7 linked regions of the Ovis aries genome follow. The protein of the gene in region 1 binds, or shares a complex with, the protein of each later gene. Links are inferred from orthologs where the notes say so. Each region holds a gene or a part of one and is shown in the gene's direction. Other genes may lie near its edges. The genes, in order: SNRPD3, CWC22, LSM7, PPIL2, USP39, GEMIN2 and CRNKL1.

What was found.
Region 2: SNRPD3 (region 1) and CWC22 share a complex: the UniProt entries of both Homo sapiens proteins name them as parts of the minor spliceosome. The link is inferred for Ovis aries from reciprocal best matches to the Homo sapiens genes SNRPD3 and CWC22.
Region 3: SNRPD3 (region 1) and LSM7 share a complex: the UniProt entries of both Homo sapiens proteins name them as parts of the U4/U6-U5 tri-snRNP complex. The link is inferred for Ovis aries from reciprocal best matches to the Homo sapiens genes SNRPD3 and LSM7.
Region 4: SNRPD3 (region 1) and PPIL2 share a complex: the UniProt entries of both Homo sapiens proteins name them as parts of the minor spliceosome. The link is inferred for Ovis aries from reciprocal best matches to the Homo sapiens genes SNRPD3 and PPIL2.
Region 5: SNRPD3 (region 1) and USP39 share a complex: the UniProt entries of both Homo sapiens proteins name them as parts of the U4/U6-U5 tri-snRNP complex. The link is inferred for Ovis aries from reciprocal best matches to the Homo sapiens genes SNRPD3 and USP39.
Region 6: SNRPD3 (region 1) and GEMIN2 share a complex: the UniProt entries of both Homo sapiens proteins name them as parts of the SMN-Sm complex. The link is inferred for Ovis aries from reciprocal best matches to the Homo sapiens genes SNRPD3 and GEMIN2.
Region 7: SNRPD3 (region 1) and CRNKL1 share a complex: the UniProt entries of both Homo sapiens proteins name them as parts of the minor spliceosome. The link is inferred for Ovis aries from reciprocal best matches to the Homo sapiens genes SNRPD3 and CRNKL1.

What each region holds. Positions count from the first base shown.
Region 1 is NC_056070.1:71,547,568-71,551,672, reverse strand, and holds the start of SNRPD3 (small nuclear ribonucleoprotein Sm D3), read left to right. Parts: upstream 1-1,305; 5' UTR 1,306-1,421; intron 1,422-3,282; 5' UTR 3,283-3,300; coding exon 3,301-3,426; intron 3,427-4,105. Other genes in the region: protein GUCD1, read right to left, coding at 961-1,165. UniProt on the Homo sapiens protein: Plays a role in pre-mRNA splicing as a core component of the spliceosomal U1, U2, U4 and U5 small nuclear ribonucleoproteins (snRNPs), the building blocks of the spliceosome.
Region 2 is NC_056055.1:130,058,717-130,062,779, forward strand, and holds the start of CWC22 (pre-mRNA-splicing factor CWC22 homolog), read left to right. Parts: upstream 1-1,263; 5' UTR 1,264-2,136; intron 2,137-4,063. UniProt on the Homo sapiens protein: Required for pre-mRNA splicing as component of the spliceosome. As a component of the minor spliceosome, involved in the splicing of U12-type introns in pre-mRNAs. Promotes exon-junction complex (EJC) assembly.
Region 3 is NC_056058.1:19,032,414-19,036,615, forward strand, and holds the start of LSM7 (U6 snRNA-associated Sm-like protein LSm7), read left to right. Parts: upstream 1-1,402; 5' UTR 1,403-1,421; coding exon 1,422-1,427; intron 1,428-1,574; coding exon 1,575-1,665; intron 1,666-4,197; coding exon 4,198-4,202. Other genes in the region: SPPL2B (signal peptide peptidase-like 2B), read right to left, coding at 1,196-1,402. UniProt on the Homo sapiens protein: Plays a role in pre-mRNA splicing as component of the U4/U6-U5 tri-snRNP complex that is involved in spliceosome assembly, and as component of the precatalytic spliceosome (spliceosome B complex).
Region 4 is NC_056070.1:72,128,805-72,132,304, reverse strand, and holds part of PPIL2 (RING-type E3 ubiquitin-protein ligase PPIL2), read left to right. Parts: intron 1-119; coding exon 120-182; intron 183-980; coding exon 981-1,032; intron 1,033-1,840; coding exon 1,841-1,892; intron 1,893-3,500. UniProt on the Homo sapiens protein: Has a ubiquitin-protein ligase activity acting as an E3 ubiquitin protein ligase or as an ubiquitin-ubiquitin ligase promoting elongation of ubiquitin chains on substrates.
Region 5 is NC_056056.1:57,457,922-57,461,865, forward strand, and holds the start of USP39 (ubiquitin carboxyl-terminal hydrolase 39), read left to right. Parts: upstream 1-1,144; 5' UTR 1,145-1,151; coding exon 1,152-1,419; intron 1,420-3,944.
Region 6 is NC_056071.1:46,865,174-46,868,673, forward strand, and holds part of GEMIN2 (gem-associated protein 2), read left to right. Parts: intron 1-2,344; coding exon 2,345-2,458; intron 2,459-3,500. UniProt on the Homo sapiens protein: The SMN complex catalyzes the assembly of small nuclear ribonucleoproteins (snRNPs), the building blocks of the spliceosome, and thereby plays an important role in the splicing of cellular pre-mRNAs.
Region 7 is NC_056066.1:39,182,176-39,186,382, reverse strand, and holds the start of CRNKL1 (crooked neck-like protein 1), read left to right. Parts: upstream 1-1,407; 5' UTR 1,408-1,508; coding exon 1,509-1,559; intron 1,560-4,207. UniProt on the Homo sapiens protein: Involved in pre-mRNA splicing process. As a component of the minor spliceosome, involved in the splicing of U12-type introns in pre-mRNAs.

The sequences.
Region 1 (4,105 bases):
AGCAGCTCCAAAGAGGACTTTTCGCTCCAGGGAAAGGTGACCCCTCCCCCCGCCCCGGCCGCTCAACCAGGACCCTCCTTCCCTCCATGACCGCAAGCGAGAGATGCCCAGGGGTGTCCCTGCTCAGGGAGTTATCAGGAAAAACAAACAAACCCCAACTGACCGTAGCCGGCCCGGCGGGACCCGCCGGAGCGCACACCTGCCCAGGTTTTGCTCAGAGCTCAACAGCCGGGGCCGCGGCGGCGGTCGGCCCAAGGTCGCGCGGCCGGACCCTGCCCGGCGCTCGGGCGGGGTTCCCCCCCAAACTCGATTCCCAGGCTGAGGGCTGCCCCCCAACCCTGATCCCGGATCCCCGATCCCCAGGGCCCTGCCCCGCGCCCACCGCGATCCCCGGGGTCAGGGCCGCCCCCCGATCCCCGGGGCCCTGCCCCGCGCCCACCGCGATCCCCGGGGTCAGGGCCGCCCCCCGATCCCCAGGGCCCTGCCCCGCGCCCACCGCGATCCCCGGGGTCAGGGCCGCCCCCCGATCCCCGGGGCCCTGCCCGGCGCCCACCGCGATCCCCGGGGTCAGGGCCGCCCCCCGATCCCCGGGGCCCTGCCCCGCGCCCACCGCGATCCCCGGGGTGACGGGGGGACCACACTGACCGGGCTCGAGCGGCGGCCCCGCTGCCTGCGCGTCCACCTCCGTCCTCATGACCCGGGCGGCGCGGGGCTCCCATGGCCCCGGCCCGGCGCGGGCTGCAGCTCTGGCGTCGACTGGGGACGGGAGCGCGCGGCCGGCGCGCGCCGGCTCCCCGGGCGGCCAGCACCAGCGCCCCGGGGGGAGCGGGGGCGGGAGGCGGCGGCGGCCCCAGGCCCCGCCCCGGCCCGCCCCGGCCCGCCCCGGCTCCCACGCCGGCGGCCCCCCGGCCCGCTGCTCCGGGTCCCCGCTCTCCCTGTCCGCACGCCGGGGGCACTCGCCTCGCTCGGGGCACCCCTTCCCCGGCGCCGTCGGCTTCCCAGGCTTCCCCTGCGGGGGCAGGTCCCGGCCCCGGGCCCCCGCCGCCGCCGCCGCCCGCCTCGCTGTCCAGCCCGCGTCTGGCGTCGGGCGCTGGGGACCGCGAGTCCCCCTCGGCCCGGGCCGGCCCGAGGGTCGCTGTTTCCGGCGGCACCTGGGTCCGGTCATCAGCCCCGCTCTTCCCCGGGCCCGGAACTATTGTACCCGAGCTCGGGTTCCCCAGCCGGCGCGGTAAGGATGAACGCGAAGGCGAGAGACGTCGCCCGCCGCCACTCGGGTAAAGGAAGGGGGCGGGCCCTGCGCGAGGCATTTTGGGAACGCGTGGTATTCTGGGAGCGCGCGGCCCGCCATTCGCGCCCTCACGCCTTCGCAGTCGCCGGAGTTCCGTCTGCCCTGCCGCCTCTGAAAGAGGAGCCCGGAGCCGGTGAGGACGGGGCCGGGGGTGCGGGGAGGGCGAGGGCTAGGCCGAGGTCCCGCGGGGGGCCGGGGGGCTGGAGGAGGACGCGCCGCCGAGGAGCCCTGCGGTGCTCGTGGAGGGAGAGCCGCGGGGAGCTGGGCCACCCCGACCCCCAGCGGCGCCTCCCAAGCGCCTGGAGGTGCGTTCGTTAGCTTTTTCCCCGAAGTACTTGCTCTTCGGTTTCCGAACCTCTCCAGGCCGGTGTTTCTCGAAGTATCCAGGCAGTGGTCTTGAGATCGTTCCTGGCTGGTGGCCACCTTCCCCCCAGATCCCTACTTGGCTGATTTCTTTTCAAAGCCCTTGGCATCTCTGCCTCCCTCCCCCTTCCAGGACCTGATCCCCTAACGCTGGAAACACAGGTTATCACATTTCCTTGCTTCTGTCTAAATCGTGTTGCAGCGTCTTGTAACTCCGGCTGCCCTTCCGTGGGGTAGTCTCTGTGCTGCCCCGGTTCCCCCAGCTGCGGTTCAGCGTTGTCCTCAGCAATGGAACCTGTTTTTTCCTAACCTCTCCCGGTCCTTTTCCTCTCTTTCGACCTCCTGCTGCGTGTCAACCGAAAAAATACCGCCACCTAAAAGCTGAGAATTAGGTTTATTCGGTGGGAATCATGAGGACTCCGAGCCCGGAAGACAGGATTTCAGGCGACCCCTGGGAGAGAGAAATGTTGGGTGGGGTGGAGTCAGGCTACAAAGAAGTTTGCAGCAAGGGGCAGGTAATCTGAATATTAAAAGATGACTGTTGAGTAATGGAGACCAGATCTCCGGCCTGAAGAGATTTAATACTTTTCTGTTCTTTGGGAAGATGCAAGAGTCCGGGCTTCCTGAAATCTTTTCTTTCACATGCATCTCAGCTATCTGGGGCCAATTCCTGCTTTTCGGCTGTTCACAGCCTAATTCCTCCTTTACCCTAAAGTTAAGGTACGAGGGACCGCCTCTTGTGCTTCTGACATCCCCCAGCTCCTCAGCACTTACAGGAAGTAACGGACAGCTGCCAAAAAGCCAGTATGGTTTTTACCTGGGCTTAAAAATTTGCATTTGGAAGGCTGGAATACCAGATGGCTGCGACGTGCCTTGATTACTGGAGAGCAGAAAGCATTTCATTTTACAGAAGTTTTCGTTTTATACACCCGTCTTGGGATTGAAAAAATCCACTTGCTTTTTTTCTCTCTTAATTAGATCAAGTCGGGGTTCTCCCTGGTTATATTTTCCCTCCAGGGTGAGCGTTTCCCACTTGTAGCACGCCGCCACCTTGTGAACACTTGGATATTTTCTCTTTAGCTTAATGGTGAAGTAAGTAGACGGTCAGAGTGCTTAATGGGTTGAATTAAACGCACAGCCCCGTCTGAGCTTCCCAGATGGCGCTAGTGGTTAAAAAGACCTCTTGCCAGTGCAGGAGATGTAAGAGACGTGGGCTCCATCCCTGGGTGGGGAAGATCCCCTGGAAAAGGGCGTGGCAGCCCACTCCAGTATTGTTGCCTGGAGAATCCCACGGACAGAGGAACCTGGTGGGCTACAGTCCATGGGGTCGCAGAGAGTCAGAAAAGCGACTTAACATGCGCACTCAAGAGCCCTGTGGTGGAAGGAAGATGGGAGGCAGCTCTTTCCCGTCAGCTTTCCCCCTGTTGAGGCCCTGTTCCTCCCCACTCACACCCTGCACGTGTTTGCCAGATGGGTCCTTCAAGCTCAGAATTCAGCTAAAAAAAAAACTAGTGCACCTCTGGCAACTTTGCTGAGTTTTCCAGAGTGTCAGCCTTGAGGGGTTGTGGTGTTTGCACATGCGTTCTTGGGCGTCGGAAGATGAGCTAACTGCTGTCTCTCTCTCACCGCAGAACTCTCTTCCTGCCGGGATGTCTATCGGAGTGCCGATCAAAGTCCTCCACGAGGCCGAGGGCCACATCGTGACGTGTGAGACGAACACTGGCGAGGTGTATCGGGGCAAGCTCATCGAGGCGGAGGACAACATGAACTGCCAGGTGCCCTGCTCTGTGCGGGGCCGGGGCGGGCCGGAGCCTCGGAGGGCAGGGCGCGGGCGGCTGGGGCTCCTTGAGGTTCTTGCTCAGCGGTGGTTCACCGAGTGCCTAAGCTGTGCCAGGCCCTATTAGAGGTGCCAGAGAGGCGGGCATCAGTGAGAGCCTCTTGGAGGTTGAGAATATGAAACCTAGAATCTGACTGTTTAGATTGCTCGTCCTTCGCTGCTCCCAGTCCCGTGGTTGTCTTCTCACGGACTTTGGGCCCATTTAAGAGAAGCAGCACAGCCTTCCGGAGGAGGCAGTGGCACCCCACTCCAGCGCTCTTGCCTGGAAAATCCTGTGGACGGGGAGCCTGGCGGGCTGCGGTCTGTGGGGTCGCACAGAGTCGGACACGACTGAAGCGACTCAGCAGCAGCAGCGCAGCCTTCAGCGGAGCCGTCAGGCTCAGCGCCCCCGCCCCGCACAGCGCGTTTGCACAGTGCTTTGCAGCTAGCAGAGTCTTCGCTCGCATACTCTGGGTATTTGCCATTTTCCTAGCAGAAGCACCTCGTGTGACTGCACTCGGAGCAAATACTTGGCCAAGCAAGCAGGTTTGGGTGATAGTTTTATCCATGAAATGGGAAGAATGAGATTACGGGACTCACCTGCTGAATATCGCTCTGCCAAGACGTGTTGGACCCAC
Region 2 (4,063 bases), on another chromosome or scaffold:
TGAAGTCGCTCAGTTGTGTCCAACTCTTCCCGACCCCATGGACTGCAGCCTGCCAGGCTCCTCCGTCCATGGGATTTTCCAGGCAAGAGTACTGGAGTGGGGTGCCATTGCCTTCTCCGTCACTCTGTTGGTGGTCCAGTATTTTCCTATTGACTTAGGTTTGCAATCTTGGAACCTGGTAGGCACTTAATATTTGTTACAGTTGGTAACATTTTTGTTTTGGTTCTTGGTTTAACTACTGTAAAAAGTCTAAAAGGTCTGGTTTCCTTAAGATTTTCACAGAAAAGTGGCTACACTAAAGTCTCCTTTTTTTGTCAACTGCAGAGAAATAAGTTTACAGTAAATTTAAAAAAAATCTTAAGACAGAACCAGGTTGCCAGTGAAATTAAAACACGCTTACTCCTTGGAAGAAAAGTTATGACCAACCTAGATAGCATATTGAAAAGCAGAGACATTACTTTGCCAACAAAGGTCCGTCTAGTCGAGGCTATGGTTTTTCCTGTGGTCATGTATGGATGTGAGAGTTGGACTGTGAAGAAAGCTGAGCGCCAAAGAATTGATGCTTTTGAACTGTGGTGTTGGACAAGGCTCTTGAGAGTCCTTGGGCTGCAAGGAGATCCAACCAGTCCGTTCTAAAGGAGATCAGCGGTGGGATTTCTTTGGAAGGAACGATGCTAAAGCTGAAACTCCAGTACTTTGGCCACCTCATGCGAAGAGATGACTCATTGGAAAAGACTGATGCTGGGAGGGATTGGGACAGGAGGAGAAGGGGAAGACAGAGGATGAGATGGATGGATGGCATCACGGACTCGATGGACGTGAGTCTGAGTGAACTCCGGGAGTTGGTGATGGACAGGGAGGCCTGGCGTCCTGCGGTTCATGGGGTCGCAAAGAGTCGGACACGACTGAGCGACTGAACTGAACTGAACTGAGGTTGCCGGTGAGCTTCTAGAGCGAACTCTATGCTCCTTATCCAAAAGAACTATAATTCCCGTCGTGCATTGCTGCCTTCTCAGCCTACAACTGAGCGCGCCATTTCCGCCCACATTGGCGGTGGGTTCTGGGTTTTGTAGTTTGTTGTCTCTTTTGTCTCCGTCTTGGGAAGGAAAACGTGTGGCCGGATCGACGGCTCTGAATCTGGTATTACAAAACAATGTTTAAAATAAGTTAATACAACAACGTATCACAGTCAGTTTAACGTCAGGTTATTATGTGTTTCACGTCCGTCTTCTTCCTACTGCCGGGCCGGGAAGGGGAAGTGACGTGCTTCCGGTGTAATGGCGGCGCGGTGGAGCTCCAGGTAATTACCGAAGTCCGTAGACTCGCTGCAGGCAGCGAGCTGGAGTTGGGGCGGCAGGCTGCCAGGCCGGGTGGGAAATGAAGGGGCCCCAGGAGTAGGTGCGGGCTCGCTGGTACGGCCGTGGTAGGTTTTCGGGGGCGTTGGGGTCTTCCGCCGCGCGGTGGCCCGCGAGGTTGGACCGTGAGTGTCGGTGGGGCCGAAGAGCCCCAGTGAGTGGGATGGGGAGTACCTGCGCGGACCGGGGGGGTTCCTGGAGCTGTCTCTCCGCGGGGGATTTTATTGTGGAATCCAGCAGCAGCGCGGGTACCCTCTCCTTTAGTGTGGGGTGTGTTTTTTGGCGCGGATCGCTTGGAGCCTCTCGAGTTCTTAGTTCTGGGCCCCAGGCCCCTTTCTTAATGCCTGGGCCCCGAACCATAGGTGTGAGATTAATAAACCCTGGTTTATTAAAAAGCTGTGGAAGTTCTCTCTCGTTCAAAATTTCATGAGTCGTTTCTTTTTCATCATTTACCGTGTAGTTCTGCGGAGTGTTCATTCATTATTACTCGTGTTCTTCCTCTTGTTATCCTTTATCCCTACATAACTTTGTTTTTCAGTCCTTCCGTCGTGTCCTACCTACTCTTTGCGACCCGATGGACTGCAGCACGCCGGGCTTCCCTGTCCTTCACCACTCCCGGAGTTTGTTCAGACTGGTGTCCATTGAGTCAGTGATGCCATCCAGCCACCTCGTCCTCGTTCCTTTCTCCTCCTGATTTCAGTCTTTCCCAGCATTAGGGTCTTTTCCATTGAGTCGTCTCTTCGCATCAGGTGGCCAAAATATTAAGAGTTTCTGCTTCAAGGTCAGTCCTTCCAATGAATGTTCAGGACTGATTTCCTCTAGGATTGACTGGTTGGATCTCTTTGCTGGCCAAGGGATTCTCTAAAGTCTTCTTCAACACCACAGTTCAGAAACATCAATTCTTTGGCGCTTAGCTTTCTTAATGGTCCAGTTCTCACATCCATACATGACTACTGGAAAAACCATAGCTTTGACTAGACTGACCTTTGTCGCCAAAGTAATGTCTCTGCTTTAAATATGCTGTCTAGGTTTTTCATAGCTTTTTTTCTAAGAAGCAAGCGTCTTTTAAGTTCGTAGCTGCAGTCACCAGCTGCAGTGATTTTGGAGCCCCCCCAAAATGTGTCACTGGTTCCTTTGTTCCACCGTCTATTTGCCATGAAGTGATGGGACTGGATGCCATGATCTGTGTTTTGAACGTTGAGTTTTAAGCCAACTTTTTTACTCTCCTCTTTCATCAAGAGGCTCTTTAGGTCTTCCTCACTTTCTGCCATGAGGGTGGTGTGGTATTTGAGGTTATTGATATTTCTCCCAGCAGTCTTGATCTCACCTTGTGTTTCATCCAGCCCTCCATTTAGCATGATGTACTCTGCATATAAGTTAAATAAGCAGAGTGACAACATAGAGCCTTGAGAGACTCCTTTTCCAATTTGGAACCAATCTGTTGTTCCATGTCCGGTTCTAACTGTTGCTTCCTGACCTGCATACAGATTATTCAGGAGGCAGGTAAAGTGTCTAGTATTCTCATCTCGTTCAGAATTTTCCAGTTTGTTGTGATCCACACTGTCAAAGGCTTTGGCATCATCAGTAAAGCAGAAGTAGATGTTTTTCTGGAACTCTCTATTTTTTTCTGTCATCCAGCAATTTAATCCTCTGGTTCCTCTAAATCCAGCTTGAACATCTTGAAGTTCTCAGTTCATGTACTGTTGAAGCCTGGCTTGGAGAATTTTGAGCATTACTTTGCTATCATGTGAGATGAGTGTAATTGTGTGGTAGTTTGATCATTCTTTGGCATTGCCTTTCTTAGGGATTGGAATGAAAACTGACCTTTTGCAGACCTGTGGCCAGTGCTGAGTTTTCCAAATTTGTTGGCATATTGAATGCAGCACTTTAACAGCATCATATTTTAGGACTTGAAATAGCTCGGCTGGGAATTCCATCACCTCCACTAGCTTTGTTTGTAGTGATGCTTCCTAAGGCCTACTTGACTTCACATTTCAGGATGTCTGGCTCTAGGTGAGTGATCACACTATCATCAAGTTAGGTATATCCCTAACTTGATGTAAGTCACTGCTAGCCTACAGCTAGTTTAAGAAAGAAGTGGATTTTGCTAATATAGCTGATCTCACTAGTGACTTTGAGGGCTTTCTTGTTGCATTTCTCTACTTCTCGGTTTAAATCTGAGAATCCTAGCATGGGAGAGTAATGGAACAAAAAGGCCTCTTGGCCGATTAGTTTCAACAACCTCCAGACTTTTTAATAAGCCTGCAGCCTAAATATTTTATCTCAGTATATTCATTTCCCAAGCGGACATTGAAAGAGACATTTCAAGGCCTACAAGGAAGTTCATACTTTCAAAGCCTTTTCTTCATGAGTAATATACCAGGGAAGGAAGCAGTGATTAAAGCAAGGCTTTGCCGTTTGTAGCCAAGCTAAATCGTTTCCCAGTGAACAGATACCCAAAAAACTAGTGTGGGCTGCCTCAGCCGGGGGACCTAAGGGTTCCTTGATTATGAAATAGGTTGGCTAATGGGAGGGTGAGACCCTGTGGAGGTTCATCTTTAATTTGACTTTGAGCTTAACTCATAAGTGGATCAGACTAGAGTTCAGTCCTTTCACCTTGAAAGCTACCCTGTGAGTCCTTTCCTGAATTAGTTTATCAGGACAGGTTTATTCTAGACATGACAGGAGCCTCTGGTCTAGAATGTGGT
Region 3 (4,202 bases), on another chromosome or scaffold:
GGGCTGGGGGAAATACAGGGAGCTGGCAAAGCACCTGGGGAGGAGGTGGGTCAGAAAGCTGCTGGAATGTGGCACCCCTAAGCTGAGACCAGAAACACAACGTTGGAGGGAGTTAGGTTTCAGGGAAACAGAGCCCAGTGAGCAAAGTGCCTTTAATATGCTAGAGTTGGAAACAAAGGATGGTTTCCTGTCAGCCGGATCACAGAGTCCTCCTGAATGTGTCAGTGGCACCAGAAAGCTCTCATTTGGACACAAGATCTGACACACTTTGAAAGAGATCCCTCCTGCAGGGCTGAAAATGAACTGGGAGTTTGGGGGACAAAAGCGGCCTTGGAGAGAAGCCAGCAGCCTGAAGCAGAGGTTGGGGGGCTGGCACAGAAAGGGCAACGTTAATGGCCCAGTTTGTAGGGCTGTTGGTGGGGGGGGCACCATTTCCGGAGTTATGGAATTTGGGAGAGAGGGAGGGTTTGGAAAATAAAAAATGCACTCAAGGTAACGTACATCAGCCATCTCCAGGTCTGTCCCCCAGTGGCGACCCTTGAGGTTAAGTGACAAACAAGTAGCATGCCCCACGTCCGGGATCCCCTACATCATCTCGCTGACTGCGCACTGTACACTTATCCTCCTTTTGCAGACGACCAACTCAAAGCGGGAACTCCCCTGCCAAGGTCACGGCAGAAAAAGATGGGGCGGCGATTCGACCCCATTCCAGGGCTGGGCTCCTGGACGCTTCTCGACGCCGCCAGTCACTGGGTGCCACGCTGGGCAGTTGACTACAACCACGGGGAATGGGGGTAGTATCGCTTTCAAGGGGATGCCAGGGTCAGAGAGGGGTAGCCCCCGACTAAGGCCACGGAGTCAGAGAGGGGAGTCCCAGAGGCGGTTGGAGACCCCGAGACAGACCAGCAGGGGCCGGGGCGGAAGCGGGGTAGTGGGACCTAAAACTTTAGGTCCGGGCGGAACCCAGTGACACCACGGCTGGGAACGGCGTCCAGACAGAGAAGGGAGACCGGCCGGGGGACAGACCCGCAAGGTCACGGTCGGGCCCCAGGCCCACGGGTTGCCGGCACCGGGGGCGCGGATCCCCTAAGCTGGCCCCAGGCCGGTCAGGGCGGGGTTCTGCGCGGGGCCAGGGAGGGGTGAGAAGCCGGGGCACCGTGGCCGGCGAGGCCAACGGGGTCGGCGCCGCCCTCACCTGGGCCGCGAGGAGAAGGAAGGCCGCTGCGAGCCGCGCCAGCGCCGCCGCCGCTGCCGCCGCCGCCATGTCGCCCGGTCCCCGCCACAGGCGTCGGCAGATGTTTCCCAGCAACGCCCCGGCGCAGAGCGCCGCGCAGGCGCCCTGCGTCTTTCGCGCATGCGCGCAGGGGTAGGTACAAAGGGCGCAGTGGCGGCGCCTGCGCATAGCGACGCGGCGCGACAAGATGGCGGTGAGCGTGCGGCGCTGCTGGTGGGGTTGGCGGGTTTCGCCGGGCTGGCGGGGTTCGCCGGGCTGGCGGGGTTCGCGGGGCTGGTGGGGTTGACTGGGGAGAGTCCAGCCGTGCTCCCCGCTTCACAGCGTTCTGCATCCCCTGCAGGACAAAGAGAAGAAAAAGAAAGAGAGCATCTTGGATCTATCCAAGTACATCGACAAGACCATCCGAGTGAAGTTCCAGGGAGGCAGAGAAGGTGAGGCCCCGCTGCCCTCCCCCTCCACAGTCCACGAGGAGTAACGGGAGGCGGTACCGGTAACGGATGCCTGGGCCGCGCTTTAGGCGCTTGGCTCGGACAACTCGTCCGGCCTGCTGCCGGCGCCGGCGTATAGGAACGGTTACACCCCTTTTGCAGGTGGGAAAACTGAGGCACGCAAAGGGGCCCAAACCTCGCCCGCAGCCACAGGGGCTAGGATTCAGGTCTCTGCTTCCTTTGGGTCTTGTCTCACCCTGGCGGCTGCCCCAGCCCCCCATGGGCCCCCTCAGCACCAGGGTTTCTCAGTTTCAGCACTGCTGACATTAAGACCGTATTGTTCTCTGTAGGGGGCCGTCCTGGGCGCTGTAGGGTGTGGAGCAGCATCTCTGGTCCCATCCACTCGATTCCAGGAGCCTTCTAGTTCTGATGACCACAGGCATCCCAGACCTGGCCTGGTGTTCCCTGGCAGGGGCAGAATTGCCCCAGTTGAGAACCCAGGCCCTATACTCAATTTACACGAAGCCACCTGAGGCACCTTTTGAAAGCAAACCTCATCTCCTTGTTCACCACTGTTCCAGGGTAAAGAATGAGCCTTTTGCTTTTGAGTGAGGCAGGCAGCTCTCAGCTGCTTTGGGAAGCTCTGCTTGACTCTGCATCCCAAGTCAGGGTCCTTTGGTATAAGCTCCTGGTAACAGCTGTCAGGGCTTGGCAGGTTTTTTTCAGTTACTGTGAGGCTTTAACTGCATCTCCCTCTGCGATCTCGTGAGGAGACTGGCAGGAAAGATGATGCAAGGTTACGTGGAGAGTGCCGTCCAGGGCAGAGCCCCAGCTCACTGGCTGTGGGACTTTGGGCAAGTCGCTATAATCTCTGAGTCTGTCTCATCTGTCAGAGGCTGTTAACTCCACTTACCTCAGCAGTGGTGGTGAAATTAAAGGGTAATGTCATTAGCCAAGTTCCTGACACTTAGTCAGCACCCAGTGCTTCACTTATTCAGCTATCTCTGATCTTCAGTTTCTTTGTTGGTAAGATGGTGATTCAGACGACTCCTCCTCTGAGATGTGGACGCCTGGGTAGCATCAGAGTGGCTAAAAACACAGTGCCTGCCCGTCTAGGTACCCAGCCCAGTGAGGCTCTGAATCTGAACAAACACTGGCACCATGCCGGTTCTGGGATGTACAAGGAGATGGGGCTCCTGCTTCTCAAGGCGCTTGTGTTTGTCTTTTTTTAATTAATTTAGCTGCATAAGGTCTCAGATGTCAGGCCAGGTCTCTCTAATTATGCCATATGGGCTTAGTTGCTCCATGGAATGTAAGACCAAGGATGGAACCCACATTTGCTGTACTGCAGAATGAATTCTTAACCACTTGGACCACCAGGGAAGTCCCTTCTGTTCATTTTCTGTGCTTCAACAACCCATTTTTATCTCACAGCACCTGTGGTTCCAGACTCCAGGTGCCTCAGGCTCAGGTCTCTGACGAGGTTGCAGTAAGGGAGCATCTCTGGGAGCCTGTATCTCAGGCCCGGGGTCCTCGTTTTCTGGCAAGTGTTGGCCAGGGACCCTCTGGGCTCCTAGAGGCTGCCCACTGCCTCTGCCACAGACACTGTCCACAGCATGGCAGTTGACTCCTTCAAGGCTAGCAGAAAAATCTAATTTTTTCAACTTCTCTTTTCAGAAAGGGCCCATCCTTTTAATGGCTCACCTGTAGGTCAGGCCCACCCAGCATAGCCTCCCTTTAGATCCACTAAGAGTGGACTGATTCATGGACCTTGATCACATCCACGAAGCCCTCTGTTACAGCCTGACCACAGACTGACGTCTGATCGAGGGTCCCATCTCACATCAGAGGGAGGGGTGGGGGAATGCTGGATTCATCTGAAAATCCCACCCACCTGCTGCGGCACCTCCCCCAGTAAGAAGGGAGGATCCACAGGTGTGGGCTCACTACCCAACCCGGGGCCAAGTGCCCAGATGGATTCTGGGATTTGTCACTCTCCATCACCCCACTTGGTGAGCACCGTCACAGGGTTGAGGAGGGCTGTCAACAGCAGAGGAAGCAGAGCCAGGGCCTCGCACTCAGGCAGGCCTGGCAGACTTGTTCTGCAGAAGACCAGACAGGGAACATTTTCAGCTGTGCTGGCCAGACGGTCTCTGTCGCAGCTCCTCAACTCCACCATTCAGCAGCTGAGCTGCCACAGCGACATTTACCAAATGAGCGGGGCCGGGCTCTAGTTAAACTGTTTACAAAACAGGCGCAGGCGGATTTGCCGACTGTTGCAGTGGCAATGGTGTGGGGTCAGCTGTCACTGCTCGTCTCCTGGGAGCCCTTCCCTTGCTCCCCCTTTGGTCCTGCATCTGTCCTGTCCCTGAAGAGGCTGCTGCCACGCCTGCGTCTGGCTGGGGGGTGGTCCCTCACCAGTGAGGGCACCCCAATTTCATGTGCTGACACCCTCGTGCAGCTCGCACTTTACCCAGAATGACCATTGATCTTATGCTTGTCCATCTCTCTTCTCTGCTTGGTGATTCCGATAAGCCAGT
Region 4 (3,500 bases), about 580 kb from region 1:
ATGCAGGAGCGGGGCCCGCTGCGCAGCGAGGAGCGGGCGGGGCCCCCGACCACGGCCGCCCGCCAGCGTCTCTGGGTCGGGAGAGGGCGGCGCTCAGGAGTGACTCTGCTGCCCCTCAGTCTCTCTCTGCAGCCCTTCACCTACCCGGTGTGCACTCCCGAAGGTGTCGTCTTTGACTTGCTGTGAGTTTCCCCTTGACGTCTAAGCTGGCAGATGTGGTGAGGTTGCTGGCACCCACCTGAGACAGGGCGGCGGGAGGGTGTGGGCTGCAGGCAGGGCCACGCTGCGGGCCTGCAGCCTCCAGAGCCCTGGGTGGGCCTCTTGGGGATGGGAGGGGCAGCACCGCTCTGACCTCTGCCTGGGGGCCCCCAGCGTTCTGATCCGCACCCCCTAGCTGTTGGAATATTGGAGAGTGTGTAGCTTTCACGTCACGAAGGCGGAGCCGTAGTCGAGGTGCCTGCCTCTCTGGTGCTGCCCTCGGAAGCCTCGTGCCCCGTCTGTGTTCCGAGGACGCAGGCTTCTGCCGTTCCTCGTGACAGCCTCATTTCAGAAAATGCGGAAAGCGCTTCAGATGAAGGGGAGACGGGCGCTGTCAGGCTGGGCCCCTTTTGCCTGGGAGGTGTTTGTGGGAACCTGGTAGAGATCACACCGCGAGGCTGGTTCCAGACCCACTCTCCAGTCACAGCGAGAGCGTTTCGCCCCCGTCGTCCAGAACTGTGCGGAGTGTGGTTCCGAGGCTGGCCCGGTACCCGCAGCAACGTGTGTGGAGGGCTTGCCATTAGTGGTGTTTGTCCACGCTTGTGCACAACGGCAGGAGAAACCCCAAGCGGCCACTGGTGCCTGCGCGGCCAGAAGCACTCCTTCCCGTGATGAGGCGGAGAGAGAGGGCGGAGCAGCCCCCAGCCCCTGGGCAGCCGCCCCCCAGCCCAGTCCCCGGCTCTGGCCCGTCGCCGTCTGACACGCTTGGTCTCTTCCTCCAGGAACATCGTTCCTTGGCTTAAGAAGTACGGGACCAACCCCAGCAACGGAGAGGTAGGTGGCCCTGCAGGAGCTTCGGTGAGGCCGGCGAACGCTCTAGTGTCACACGCGCCCGTGCCCCCTCCCTTCCCCACGCCTGTCCTCCGTGGAGCATGCCCCCCGCGTGCCCACATGTGGGGTCACACAGGGGCAGCCTCCTGCGGCGGCACCGCGGGCTTTGGCATCCCCTGCTGTTACCAACGCTGGCCAGGCGCACGTGCAGTGGCCCCCAGCCTGCCGGCCCCGGGGCTGCGTTTTCGGCCTGGTCACTCCTGGCACGTTGCCCTGGAGGAGTCGAAGCATTCTGGGCCCCTGCTGGTGGGTGTGAAGGGGATTCGGGTCCTAGACCCTCGGAGGCGCTGGGCGTCCCACCCCTCTGGGCGATGCTCCTTACGGGCTGTGTGGAAGCTAGCTTCCCACTGCTGGCGTGCTCGGTGTGCCGTGCTGGAGAGAACGCAGGATCGGCCCCTCCCGCCGCAGCCCTGCACACCTGCCACAGGCCTGGGCCCGGTTCCGCCGCGCAGGCTGCTCTCCGTTCCCTCGTGGCGTGCCTGCAGTTCACTCCCGGCGGGGTGTTAGCGCTGCGGTGCGGGGCCGGCTCTGTAGCGGAGCAGGACCAGGGACCAGGGTGCTACCTCAGAGGAGGACAGGGGCCTGGGGGTGTCAGGGAGCAGCGCCAGTGCTGTGAGACCCAGGGGTGGAGACCCTTGTTCTGGGCGGGAGTTAGGCCAGAGAGAGCTGCTGCCTGCCACACTGGCCTGGTGGCCTCAGCACCTCCGCACGCTAGCTGCTTCTGTATTTTCATTGATTCTGCTTCTTGCAGAAACTGGATGGGCGGTCCCTGGTCAAGTTGAACTTTGCGAAGAACAGTGAAGGTGAGCAGCCTTTCCGGCCTGCTCGGGTTACCCGAGCCCCACCTCTCTCCAGGTTCTTACCTTCCGAGCAGGCCAGACGCTTGCTTTCAGTTTATCAAAAATGTTATGCTGTCTTCCTAGAGGCACAGGTAGTTTAAAACTGGGAACAGATAAACTCAGACGCCCGACAGCGGCCGGAGGGAAGCTGGGGCTGGAGATGGGTGGCACACAAACTCGGCTCTCTCGACCCTGCAATCATCAATTAAGACACAAGGCCAAGAGGGCGCTCTCTAGATCAAGGGTGGTAAAAAATTTAAAAAGGCACAGTTGAGGGCATGAGCCTTCACTGTGGGGCACTTGGGCCGTGTGGGCTGAGCTGGGCCCCTGAGGGCACAGGCCCTGCCCAGCTGTGGTCCAGGTGTCACTGGAGACGGAGCTGCTCAGGCTGAGGCCCAGGTGGGCGGCTGGGCGTGGGGCTGGGGGCTCTTGGGCTCTTTCCGCTCGGCTCGGCATTGGTCGTGCGCCCCGGCCCAGTCCCGGGGCCCCGTGCTGCACCCCTGCGTGCCCTGCACTGCTCTTGCTAGCCGGACGCCTGTGTGGAGGCAGCCTCCGCGAGCACTGGCCTTGTTCTCAGTTCCCTATGGGCCTGGGCGTGTGCAGGTGCCCTGGGGGAGGGCTGGGTCAGGGTTTGCTGGTGGGTGCGTTCCGGGAATGCTTGGAGGCCGGCCAGCCCCCAGCAGGTGCGGACAGCAGTGAGGAGCCAGCCGGCCTTGGCGGCCCGGACAGTCTGGGTGCTGGGGAGCTCCTCGCTCCGAGAGTGGCTCCTTCACAAGCGTTCACTGCGTGCCTGCCTGCCACGTGCAGACAGTGAGGGCCAAGCCTCTCCTGAGATGAGAGGGCGGGCTTTGGAAATGAGGTCACTGCGGTGGGTCAGACTCGGCCTGTCCTGGGGTCAGAGGTGAAGTGGGCCAAGGGAGAGGGGCTGGGGGCCAGCTGATGGAGTTTGAGGGGGGCTCTGCAGACAGGTGGGGCGTGCCCTGTGGGGAGAGCGCTTCAGGCAGAGGCCCAGCCGTGACAGGCCCTGCGGCGCGGGGCCCATTCTTACTTGCCCGGTATGAGTGGAGCAGGGGCAGGGGCTGTGGTCTGGGGCAAGCTGAGGCGGGGAGCCCAGCAGTGTCTCGGGCTCAGATTCGAGCAAGGAAGATCTGACCCAACTTGGTTTCTTTTAATTACTTACTTGGCTGCGCCGTGTCTTGGTTGGAGCATGTGGCATCTAGCTCCCGGACCAGGGATTGAACTTGCATTGGGAGCATGGAGTCTTAGCCACTGGACCCCCAGGAAATCCCCCTCAACTGTGCCTTTTTACATTTTTTACCACCCTTGATCTAGAGAGCGCCCTCTTGTGTCTTAGCTGATAGTTCAGGGTCGAGAGAGTCGAGTTTGCGTGCGGCCTGTCTCCAGCCCTAGCTTCCCTCCAGCCGCCGTCGGGCATCTGAGTTTATCTGTGGTCCCCTCCGCTGTGTCGGTGCCTTCGTGCCGGTTCACGCTTAGGTATTTGAGTGTGTCTCTAAAAGCTAAGGACTTAAGAAACGAGACACTCGTCATACCTAGGAAGTTAGTATGAATTTG
Region 5 (3,944 bases), on another chromosome or scaffold:
CCTTGGAAGGAAAGTTATGACCAACTTAGGCAGCATAATAAAAAGCAGAGATATTATTTTGCCAACAAAGGTCCATCTAGTCAAGGGTATGGTTTTTCCAGTGGTCATGCATGGATGTGAGAGTTAGACTATAAAGAAAGCTGAGCGCTGAAGAACTGATGCTTTTGAACTGTGGTGTTGGAGAAGATTCTTGAGAGTCCGTTGGACTGCAAGGAGATCCAACCAGTCCATCCTAAACAAGATCAGTCCTGGGTGTTCACTGGTAGGACTGATATTGAAGCTGAAACTCCAATACTTGGGCCACCTGATGCAAAGAGCTGACTCATGGGAAAAGACCCTGATCCTGGGAAAGACTGAGGGCAGGAGGAGAAGGGGACGACAGAGGATGAGATGGCTGGATGGCATCACTGACTCGATGCACATGAATTTGAGTGAATTCGGGTAGCTGGTGATGGACAGGGAGGCCTGGTATGCTGTGGTTCATGGGGTCGCAGAGTCGGACACGACTGAGCGACTGAACTGAACTGGACACTTTAAATGCGCTTTTTATTGTATATCAATCACACCTTAGTAGAACTGTAAAGTAATTCAGGGTGTGGAAGGGGTCATGAAAGTCAGGTCCTGAAGCTTCAGCTTTATTGGCTCCACTCTCTAGTTTCTCTCTGCTCGTCATTCTCATTTTTCTGTGATTCCTCTAAATGTGGAATTAAGAGTCGCCAGGTTGCTCCAATAAGGGTATGACTTGGGAATGTCTCCTGGTTCTGTGCAGGGGTGTTGATCTTTGAGGCGCGGAGACTGTGGAGACGACTTCCCTATTCTCGTTTCGGGATACAAAGTGTCTTGAAGACACCGGGCGTCCAACGACAGCTTCTGTTATCCAGAAATCCCCAGTCAGTAAAAGGTTCTTGCCTCTTTAAACCGGAAAAGGGTAACTTGCAGAAGATCCGCCTACCGGTCTCCGGTGCGCACGCAGCAGCAAAGGAGCCACAAAAGGCACAGTACTTCCCCGAAGTTCTCTGCGGCGTGATTTGTCCCCGTCGGCGACTCGTAGAGAACCTTGGCCTCCATAACAGCGCCGCTTCTGATTGGCTGCTTGCCGCGCGCTCGGTCTTGTCTGGGGGCTGCGCCGGGCGACTCGGCCGGTAGTGGCGATGTCCAGCCGGTCCAAGCGGGAGTCTCGCGGTTCGACCCGCGGGAAGCGCGAGTCCGAGTCGCGGAGCAGCTCGGCTCGCGTCAAACGGGAACGAGATCGGGAGCGGGAGCCCGAGGCGCCGAGCTCCCGAGGCAGCCCGGTGCGCGTGAAGCGGGAGGTCGAGCCGGCGAGCGCGCGCGAGGCCCCGACGCCGGTAGTCCCGGCGGTGAGGGTGAAGCGGGAGCGCGAGGCCGACGAGGACTCGGAACCTGAGCGGGAGGTGCGAGGTGCGCGGGGCCGGGCGCGGGCTCCTCTCTCGCGTTCTTCTTTTTCTCTCTCCAACCTTCTCTCCCCGCGGGAAAGTCACACTTTACACGCGATCCGACTCGACTGCTATTTAATGAGGACCTTACTAGTCTTGGTAATCGTAGCTCTAATGTTTCTAGCAACTTTAATAATAACAGCAGCTTTCCTTTATCGGATACCTAGCTTCGGGGCCAGGCTCGTTGTTTTACAGGTGTTACCTCCTTGAGTTTTTACAAAACACCTGACGAATGAGCCCTGCTGTAATTCCTGAAATCAGACCATTCAGAGTGGAGAGCCTGAACTCTGGGCACTTGGACTACACTGCACTGTCACTTGGGGTTGTAGCTGCCAGGAGGTTTGGATTCTAGTCCGGCCTCTGAGATTGGGTCACTGGTTTGGGAATCTGGGTTTCATATGTCTGTCCCTCTTTAAGTCGATGGAAGGAGTACTGGAACCCATGAGCTTTGAGAGCCCTGTCAGTCACTTCTGTGACTGTACCCTCTGCCTTCTGCTGGACTCATTGTGCTTCTCCTGGGAATTGCTGGAGATCTTTTGGCCCAGCCTTGGTACTCTGACCTGTGTACAGTTTTCCGACTTGTTGATACCTTACCAGTCTCTAAGTAGGTTTCCATCACGTCTGAAGCTTTTCCTGTTTAAGCTCAGTTAATCTTTTCCATATCTGAACTTGGAACTTCTGATTTGAACATGTTTGGTATATACTTGTTTTCTGGTGAGTTAGCAGGTAAACATATCACTAGGCTACACTGTAGGGGCAGTGTTCTTTGTTCCGGGATTGTTCATTCTCCAAGACTATAATTCTGTCTCTGTGCCTGTTTATCTGTTTAAGATTATATTCTTGGGGAGTTCCCTGCTGGTCCAGTGGCTAAGACTCTACCCTCCCAGTGCAGGGGGCCTGGGTTTGATCCCTGGTCAGAGAACTACATGCCACTAGATCCCACATGCCACAGCTAAGAGTTTGCATGTTGCAGTGAAGATCGAAGAGCCTGCCTGCTGTAACTAAGACCTGGCACATCCGAATAAATAAAATAAATACAAGATTATACTCTTATATTAACTCTTAAATTTCTTGCTCAAGGTTTTGCATTTGACATATTTTTGTATTATGCACAGAGTCTAGGATCGCACCTTGCTCATGAAAAGTACTTGATAAATGTTCTGTGAATAATCTAGTAATTTCAGGGTATTCTTTGGTTTCTTTTCTTATATATTCTGTCAGCCTCAGGTTTCCCTTTCTCTGAAAGAGAAATTGTTTTCCAGATATTTTGCTTAGTTGTAGTCAGGAGATTGTTTTCTCTGGGACAGATTAAGATACCAGTTGTGGTTACTGTCTTCTTTTTTTCCTTTTATTTTTATTGTGAAATAGATCATAGGTACTAAGGTAGACTAAATGTCATGCACATGTATAGTTTAAAGAAGAGTGTGAGTATATAGCCTTAAATCTACCACTTGTCAAGGATTGTGAAGGGTCTGACCCTATTTGTACACTACCAGGTTAGCCTGGTAGTGGCTAACTTGGATGGATGGTAGTGGCTAACGGTTTCACGGATGCTGTTAGAAGACATTGAACTACTGGGCCTCAGACAGCATTCTGCAGCAATAACAGTAGCCAGAATATAGCATTGTCATGGTTTCCTAAGTTAGTTCCTATAGTGCGACATGATGAGAATCCATACTCACGGGAAGTGGGTGCACAAGACAACAACTCCGAACCTAGAGAACCTGAATCTTCTACAATGGGCCTTGAGCTTGCCTCGCCTTTGCTCTGTAAGGACACATGGTCTTTGACTTCCAAGGCTGTACAAACAAACTTCACTATGCCAATATCTTTGGCAAGATAGTCTGGAGGCGGTCTGTACCTCTGGTCACAGTATATGCAGAAACAGGAGAGAGCAATGCAGAATTGCCTCCTGACACTGTTCAGCTTCAGAAGTGGTGCTTAACTAGTACCTTGTTTAGTTGCTCAGTCGTGTCCGATTCCTTGCAACCCCACGGACTGCTGCACACCAGGCTTCCCTGTCCTTCACCATCTCCTGGAGCTTGCTCAGATTCATGTCCATTGAGTCGGTGATGCCATCCAACCATCTCATTCTCTGTTGCCCCTTTCTTCTCCTGCCCCCAATCTTTCCCAACATTAGGGTCTTTTCCAATGAGTTGGCTCTTTGCATTAGGTGGTCAAAGTATTGGAGCTTCAGCATCAGTCCTTCCAATGAATATTCAGGGTTGATTTTCTTTAGGATTGACTGGTTTGGTCTCCTTGCTCTCAGGGGACTCTCAAGAGCCTTCTCCAGCACCACAGTTAGAAAGCATTAATTCTTTGGCACTCAGCCTTCCTTATGGTCCAACTCTCACATCTGTACATAACTACTGGAAAAATCATAGCTTTGACTACACAGGCATTTGTCAGCAAGATGATGTCGCTCCTTTTTAATATGCTGTCTAGGTTTGTTATAGCTTTTTTCCAAGGAGCAATCATCTTTTAATTTCA
Region 6 (3,500 bases), on another chromosome or scaffold:
TTGTCACAGAGCACCTGATTTGAGTTTCTTGTCTCATCCAGCAAATTTCTACTGGCTGTCTATTTTACATAGTAATTTATATGTTCCATGCTGCTCTCCCAATTCTTCCCACCTTCTGCTTCTCACACTGTGTCCACAAGTCTGTATCCTATGTCTGTATCTCCATTGAAAAAGTGAAAGTGTTTGTCACTCAATTGTGTCTGACTCTTTGCAACCCTATGGCCTGTAGCCCACCAGACTCCTCTGTCCATGGGATTTCCCAGGGAAGAATACTGGAGTGGGTTGCCATTTCCTTCTCCAGGGGATCTTTCCAACCCAGGGATTGAAGCCAAGACTCCTGCATTGGCAGGCCGATTCTTTACTGCTGAGCAACCAGGGAACCTCTTTAACCTCTTATGGAGTCTCATATTCTGGAGAATCAAATGAAAGCTGTTTATTTTCAGAGAGGGGAAAACACACCTATTCATACAATTTTGCTCATTGTTTCAGGTGGTTCATAGATTTCAGGGGGTTCTTTTGGCCATGCTGTGCTCCCCGTGGGATCTTGGTTCCCTCACCAGGGATCAAACCCATGTAGTGTAAGCATGGAGTCCTAACCGTTGGCCCACCAGGGAATTCCCCACAGATTTCAGATTTTAGAAGCTTCTTCTAGGCAGTGCTTCCTAACGTGTTTTAAATGGTGTCACTTTGGGATAAATGGAGGAAGCTGTTCTCATGGCCTAAGACTACCAGCTGAAATCTGAGAGATTCAGTGTAACCTCTCTATATGCTTCTGTATACTTGTTGGATGCTCTGCTCTAGGAAAAGTGTGAAAGACACTAACATCACTTGCCCAAGATCATTTAACTCATAAAAAGTATAGCTGATATAGAGACCAAACTTTGTCTGATTCGAAAGCCTTTCACTGTACGGTGAGGTCTCCTGGTAAGAAGAAGGAGAGGACGGTAGGTAGGTAGATACATTTTTTTCCTTGCTCAAGGTAAGGACTTTTGGGTACCTATATAATTCAAAAAGAAGCTGCACCAGTAACAGGATGGTGATATAATTTTGTCAAAAGAGAAATGACAGCATAATTGATTGATTTAATAAATGAAGATCCTCCGTCAAAACAATGGAATATTACATAGCAGTAACACATATATTCATCATGGCAGATGTGAAACATGTAAATAATAAGATGAAGAATTTTTAAAGCAACCTCTGAAGGCAACTATGTAAATATGAACATTGATTGATTGATTGATCTAATCATTTGTTAAACACCAACCGTATGTAATAATTAGGATTTTCAGTGCTACCTGAAGCAGAAACAGTCTCTGACCTAATGGAGTAATGGGAAAACATTGTTCCAGGACAGTAGGCTTTTACCTATTAGGGGTTTTGTTCTCCTTCTGAGGATCTAATGAAAGCTCTTTCTCCTCAGGGGGGAAAACTGCATATGTATGTAGAATGATTTGTGAGGTGATGTGCCCAAATAAAAATTGTTCTGTTAACTGAATCATTTTGCTATACACCTGAAACTAACTCTATTATAAATCAACTATAAATAAATTTAAAAAATTTAGGTTCTGTTAGGGTTGAGCTGAAAGGTCATGCTTTTTTCATCTGACAATGTAGAATAAATCTATTCCCTCTTTGATTGGACAGCCTTTTATGTGAAGTATGTAATTATGTCTCCTTCCTTGGGATAAATAGGCTTCATTCTTGTAAGCATTCTTAGTGTATTTTTTTTTATATCAATTTTACGTCTTTATCACCCTCTTTTGAGCACTTCCTTGCTTGTCAGTGTTCATTAAAGTATGATCCAGACTGAAAATGTCCCACATATGGTGTGGCCACCTGGGTCCTGTTCTGGTTTGCTAGGACTGCTGTAACAAACCACCACAGATGGAGCGGCTTACCAAACAGTAAGGTATTCTCACAGCTTTGTGGGTTAGAGGGCTAAGATCGAGGTGTCAGCAGGTTTCTCTCAAGGCCACTGTCTCTGGCTTGCAGATGGCCACCTAGCTGGGTCCCCACGTGGCCTTCTGTGTGCGTACACATCCCTAATGTCTTTTTATCGGAATTTCCTCTTTCCCACAAGAATGTCAGTCAGATTAGATTAGGACCCACTCTACCCACCTCATTTTAACTTAATCATTGCTGTAAAGACTCAGTCTCCTAACCAGCACATGCTGGAGGTGAGGATCTCAGCATAGGAATTTTGAGGGGACACAGTTCACTCCATTACAAGCACTGTATGTTTGTGTGAGATGGTGGGAATATGAAGGAATCCTCACTTGTTTTTTCAGTGTTCAGTATTAAAGAAAATACATAAGTAAATTCTTTTTTTTTTTTCTTTTAGCCAAAATGTGAAGATGAAGAAGGCTGGAAAAAATTTTGTCTAGGTGAAAGGTTATGTGCTGAAGGGGCTATTGGACCAGCCGCAAGTGAAAGTCCTGGAATCGATTATGTACAAGTAAGTGATACTGTGACTAAACAAACAAAAAACAGGTCATAGTTTTGGAGCGAGATTTAGTATAGAGACTTAGCAGAATATAGCTTAGGCCAAATCCAGTCTCCTGACCGTTTTTGTAAGCCCATTTGCTAAACATAGAAGCATAATAGCTTTTTTGTTTTCCAAGGTTGTAAAAGAAATTTAAAAAGCAACTAATATATGACTGATGTATAACAGCCTATTTTCTAAAACAGTGTGTGCTTTAGCTGTTTAATAATTTTTTGAGCTAGATAGGACTTTTTTTTTTTTAATGATTAGGCAAGGGTCAAACAGTGAGTTCTGAGTAATCAGAGAAACAAAGGAAAACTCAGGTGCTTAAAAACTCAGGTGCTTAAAAATGTTTAATAAATTGCATATTCTGGTGGTGAAATGTTGAGGCTATGTTTAATTTATATTTTATAAATATAAAGATTAGTTATATTTCATATGACTTTAATAATAAAGTATGTGGCCAGCTGCTTCTTGTCCTTCAGGATTCGCCTGCCCCCAAGCTTGCAGATGTTCATATATCTGCATTACTGGTAACTCCCTATACCATGTTGTCTGTTGTGTTGAATAGGTATTTATTGTTTTCTCTTTGGTGCCACGTTTTGTTTTTCTCATTTAAAATTAGTTTATCCCCTAAATGTAAAAGCTCTGAAAATCACTAAAAAAGGCCCAAGACCTCAATTTAAAAAACAAAAACAAGCAAAGGGTGTAAAGAGACATTTCACAGGAAGGAAATGCAAATTGTTCTTATATGAGAAGATGCCCAAACTCTTAAAATAAAAACATTACTTACATCTCCACTGAGCTGGCATTTTTCAGTTAACATTGGTGAAACAAGTTTGACACACTGTTAATAAATAAGGGCTGGGGAAACAGGCAGTCTTAATGCATGGTGGTGGGAGTGTAGAAAGATTCAGATCTCTGAGAGCTAATTTAATGCTGTTTCTTATATAGCATTTCTTCTATTGGATTATATCCCTAATGTATGTTACTTTTCAAAATTTTTTAATTTGGC
Region 7 (4,207 bases), on another chromosome or scaffold:
ACAAATGATACCACTCTAATGGCAGAAAGTGAAGATGAACTAAAGAGCCTCTTGATGAGGATGAAAGAGGAGAGTGAAAAAGCTGGCTTGAATCTCAACATTAAAAAAACATGGCATCCAGTCCCATCACTTCGTGGCAAATAGAAGGGGAAAACATGGAAGCAGTGACAGATATTTTTTCCCCTCGGGCTCCAAAATCACTGCAGGATGATAACTGCAGCCATGAAATTAAAAGATTCTTGCTCCTTGAAAGGAAAGCTATGACAAACCTAGACAATATATTAAAAAGCAGAGATATCACTTTGCCACAAATGTCTGTATGGTCAGAGCTATGGTTTTCTCCATAGTCATGCACAGATTTGAGAGCTGGACCATAAGGAAGGCTGATCACCATAGAATTTATACTTTCTAGTTGTGGTGCTGGACAAGCCTCTTGAGAGTCACTTGAACTGCATGGAGATCAAACCAGTCAGTCCTAAAGGAAATCAACCCTGAGTGTTCATTGGAAGGAATGAAGCTGAAGCTCCAATACTTTGGCCACTATATTCAGAGAGCCAAGTCAGTGGAAAAGACCTGATGCTGGGAAAGACTGAAGGCAAAAGGAAAAGGAGGTGGTAGAGGGTGAGATGGTTAGATGCAATCACTGACTCAACGGACATAAATTTCAGCAAATTACAGGAGATAGTGGAGGATAGAGAAGCCTGGTGTGCTACAGTCCATGAGGTCGCAAAGAGTGGGACCTGAATTCGCGACTCAATAACAACAAAAGTTAAGCGAACTGGCGCTACGAAAATTGACATTAAGACACAATGACAGAAAATTTTAAATATCTGTTTATCTGATATTATTTAAGATTGATATATTACATTGCTTATCTGACATTATAAGGCTGGGTTATTTGCTAGTACTCCGATGATTTATTTTCACTTTTTTCTGTTATCTGGCTTTAAAATTCCTTCAGTCACTTTCATTTATAAGCCATAGAATTATTTGGTCACAACTGTCCGGAAACCAAGGGGCAGTTGACCATTCGGGCCTACAAAGCCCAGAATGCACCCCAGCTCAGGGCGGCCGAGGAGGTCAGCAGCTTGCCGCTAGGTATGCCAGGAGGTAGTTTTCTACCCCACCCCCGCCCTCGAGCGTCCGCACGGTAGCCGGGTTCCTGTCCCCTTGCGGGATACCGCGATTTCACGGATCCACCCGTCCTCGCACGGTCATCCTAATCCCAGAGGCGATCTGAGGATGTGCCCCTGACGGCCCGGATGCAGCCAGCACTCCTCACCTCACCTGCAACTCCCGAGTCCCAGGCTCCGAAGAGGACGCGCAGCCCGGTTACCACAGAAACGACGTTGACTCCGTCACGGCGCGGGAAAGAGGTCAAAGGTCGCCCCAGCCAGTTCCGCTTCCGGTTCCGGGATCCCGCTTGTTGTCGGAAAGTTGCGCGGTGTGGGCGAGCCCTCGGGGAAGGTTCTGTGGTCCCGGGCTCGCCCGCGGTCGCCGCTGCAGCCATGGCGGCTTCCACCGCTGCCGGGAAGCAAAGGATCCCCAAAGTGGCCAAGGTGAGCGGCTCGGGGCCTTGTGGGAGGAGGCCGGGGATGGGGTTGGCCCGGCCTTGGTGGTGCCTGGGGCGGGAGGCGTGTGGTCCCTGGGGCGGGAGGCGTGTGGTCCCGGGAGCTGGTCCTCCCTACCTGAGCGGGGGCCGCGGGCGGGGAGGGCCAGCCGGGGATGGGGGTCACCTCCGCGTCCGCGTGGTCGTCGTGTTAAAAAGTGTTTATCTGGGGGAGGAGAGAGGTTCTTCAGCACAGACACGCTGAAACAGACACTCGCTAGTCGCTGGGGCTCCGGGTAGAGCGGGCTACGAGCTACCCTGCGTAAGGGTAGAACTGCAGCCTTGCAAAGGCTCCTGAGCCCCAGAGGAATAGGCCGTGGCTTCCTGGGCTCGTGTGAGGGGTCTCCAGCGCAAGAAGTGATGATTAAGCTGTGCTGAAGGCTGTAATAGGAGTCAACCCCGGGTGAGAGTGGAAGGAGTGAAAAGAGATGACAAGGGCTGTATTTTGGTTGATCTCACTTTTTCCGTCGGCGGTTAATACTAAAGTTCAGTTCAGTTCAGTTCAGTCACTCAGTTGTGTCCGACTCTTTGCGACCCCATGAATCGCAGCACGCCAGGCCTCCCTGTCCATCACCAACTCCCGGAGTTCACTCAGACTCACGTCCATCGAGTCCGTGATGCCATCCAGACATCTCATCCTCTGTCGTCCCCTTCTCCTCCTGCCCCCAATCCCTCCCAGCATCAGAGTCTTTTCCAATAAGTCAACTCTTCGCATGAGGTGGCCAAAGTACTGCAGTTTCAGCTTGAGCATCATTCCTTCCAAAGAAATCCCAGGGCTGATCTCCTTCAGAATGGACTGGCTGGATCTTCTTGCAGTCCAAGGGACTCTCAGGAATCTTCTCCAACACCACAGTTCAAAAGCATCAATTCTTCACAGTCCAACTCTCACATCCATACATGACCACAGGAAAAACCATAGCCTTGACTAATGGACCTTAGTCGGCAAAGAATGTCTCTGCTTTTGAATATGCTATCTAGATTGGTCATAACTTTTCTTCCAAGGAGTAAGCGTCTTTTAATTTCATGGCTGCAGTCACCATCTGCAGTGATTTTGGAGCCCCCCAAAATAAAGTCTGACACTGTTTCCACTGTTTCCCATCTATTTCCCATGAAGTGATGGGACCAGATGCCATGAACTTCGTTTTCTGAATGTTGAGCTTTAGGCCAACTTTTTCCTTTCCACTTTCACTTTCATCAAGAGGCTTTTTAGTTCCTCTTCACTTTCTGCCATAAGGTTGGTGTCATCTGCATATCTGAGGTTATTGATATTTCTCCCAGCAATCTTGATTCCAGCTTGTGTTTCTTCCAGCCCAGCATTTCTCATGATGTACTCTGCATATACGTTAAATAAGCAGGGTAACAATATACAGCCTTGACGTACTCCTTTTCCTATTTGGAACCAGTCTGTTGTTCCATGTCCAGTTCTAACTGCTGCTTCCTGACCTGCATACAGATTTCTCAAGAGGCAGGTCAGGTGGTCTGTATTCCCATCTCTTTCAGGATTTTCCACAGTTTATTGTGATCCACACAGTCAAAGGCTTTGGCATAGTCAATAAAGCAGAAATAGATGTTTTTCTGGAACTCTCTTGCTTTTTTGATGATCCAGCGGATGTTGGCAATTTGATCTCTGGTTCCTCTGCCTTTTCTAAAAACAGCTTGAACATCAGAAAGTTCACAGTTCATGTATTGCTGAAGCCTGGCTTGGAGAATTTTGAGCATTACTTTGCTAGCGTGTGAGATGAGTGCAATTGTGCGGTAGTTTGAGCAGTCTTTGGCATTGTCTTTCTTTGGGACTGGAATGAAAACTGACCTTTTCCAGTCCTGTGGCCACTGCTGAGTTTTCCAAATTTGCTGGCATATTGAGTGCAGCACTTTCACAGCATCATTTTTCAGGATTTGAAACAGCTCAACTGGAATTCCATCACCTCCACTAGCTTTGTGCGTAGCGATGCTTTCTAAGGCCCACTTTGACTTCACATTCCAGAATTTCTGGCTCTAGGTGAGTGATCACATCATCGTGATTATCTGGGTCATGAAGATCTTTTTTGTACAGTTCTTCTGTGTATTGTTGCCACCTCTTCTTAATATCTTCTGCTTCTGTTAGGTCCATACCATTTCTGTCCTTTATCGAGCCCATCTTTGCATGAAATGTTCCCTTGGTATCTCTAATTTTCTTGAAGAGATCTCTAGTCTTTCCCATTCTGTTCTTTTCCTCTATTTCTTTGCATTGATCGCTGAAGAAGGCTTTCTTATCTCTTCTTGCTATTCTCTGGAACTCTGCATTCAGATGCTTATATCTTTCCTTTTCTCCTTTGCTTTTCGCCTCTCTTTCTTTTCACAGCTATTTGTAAGGCCTCCCCAGACAGCCATTTTGTTTTTTTGCATTTCTTTTCCATGGGGATGGTCTTGATCCCTGTCTCCTGTCACGAACTTCATTCCATAGTTCATCAGGCACTCTATGTATCAGATCTAGTCCTTTAAATCTATTTCTCACTTCCACTGTATAATCATAAGAGATTTGATTTAGGTCATACCTGAATGGTCTAGCGGTTTTCCCTACTTTCTTCAATTTGAGTCCAAATTTGGCAATAAGGAGTT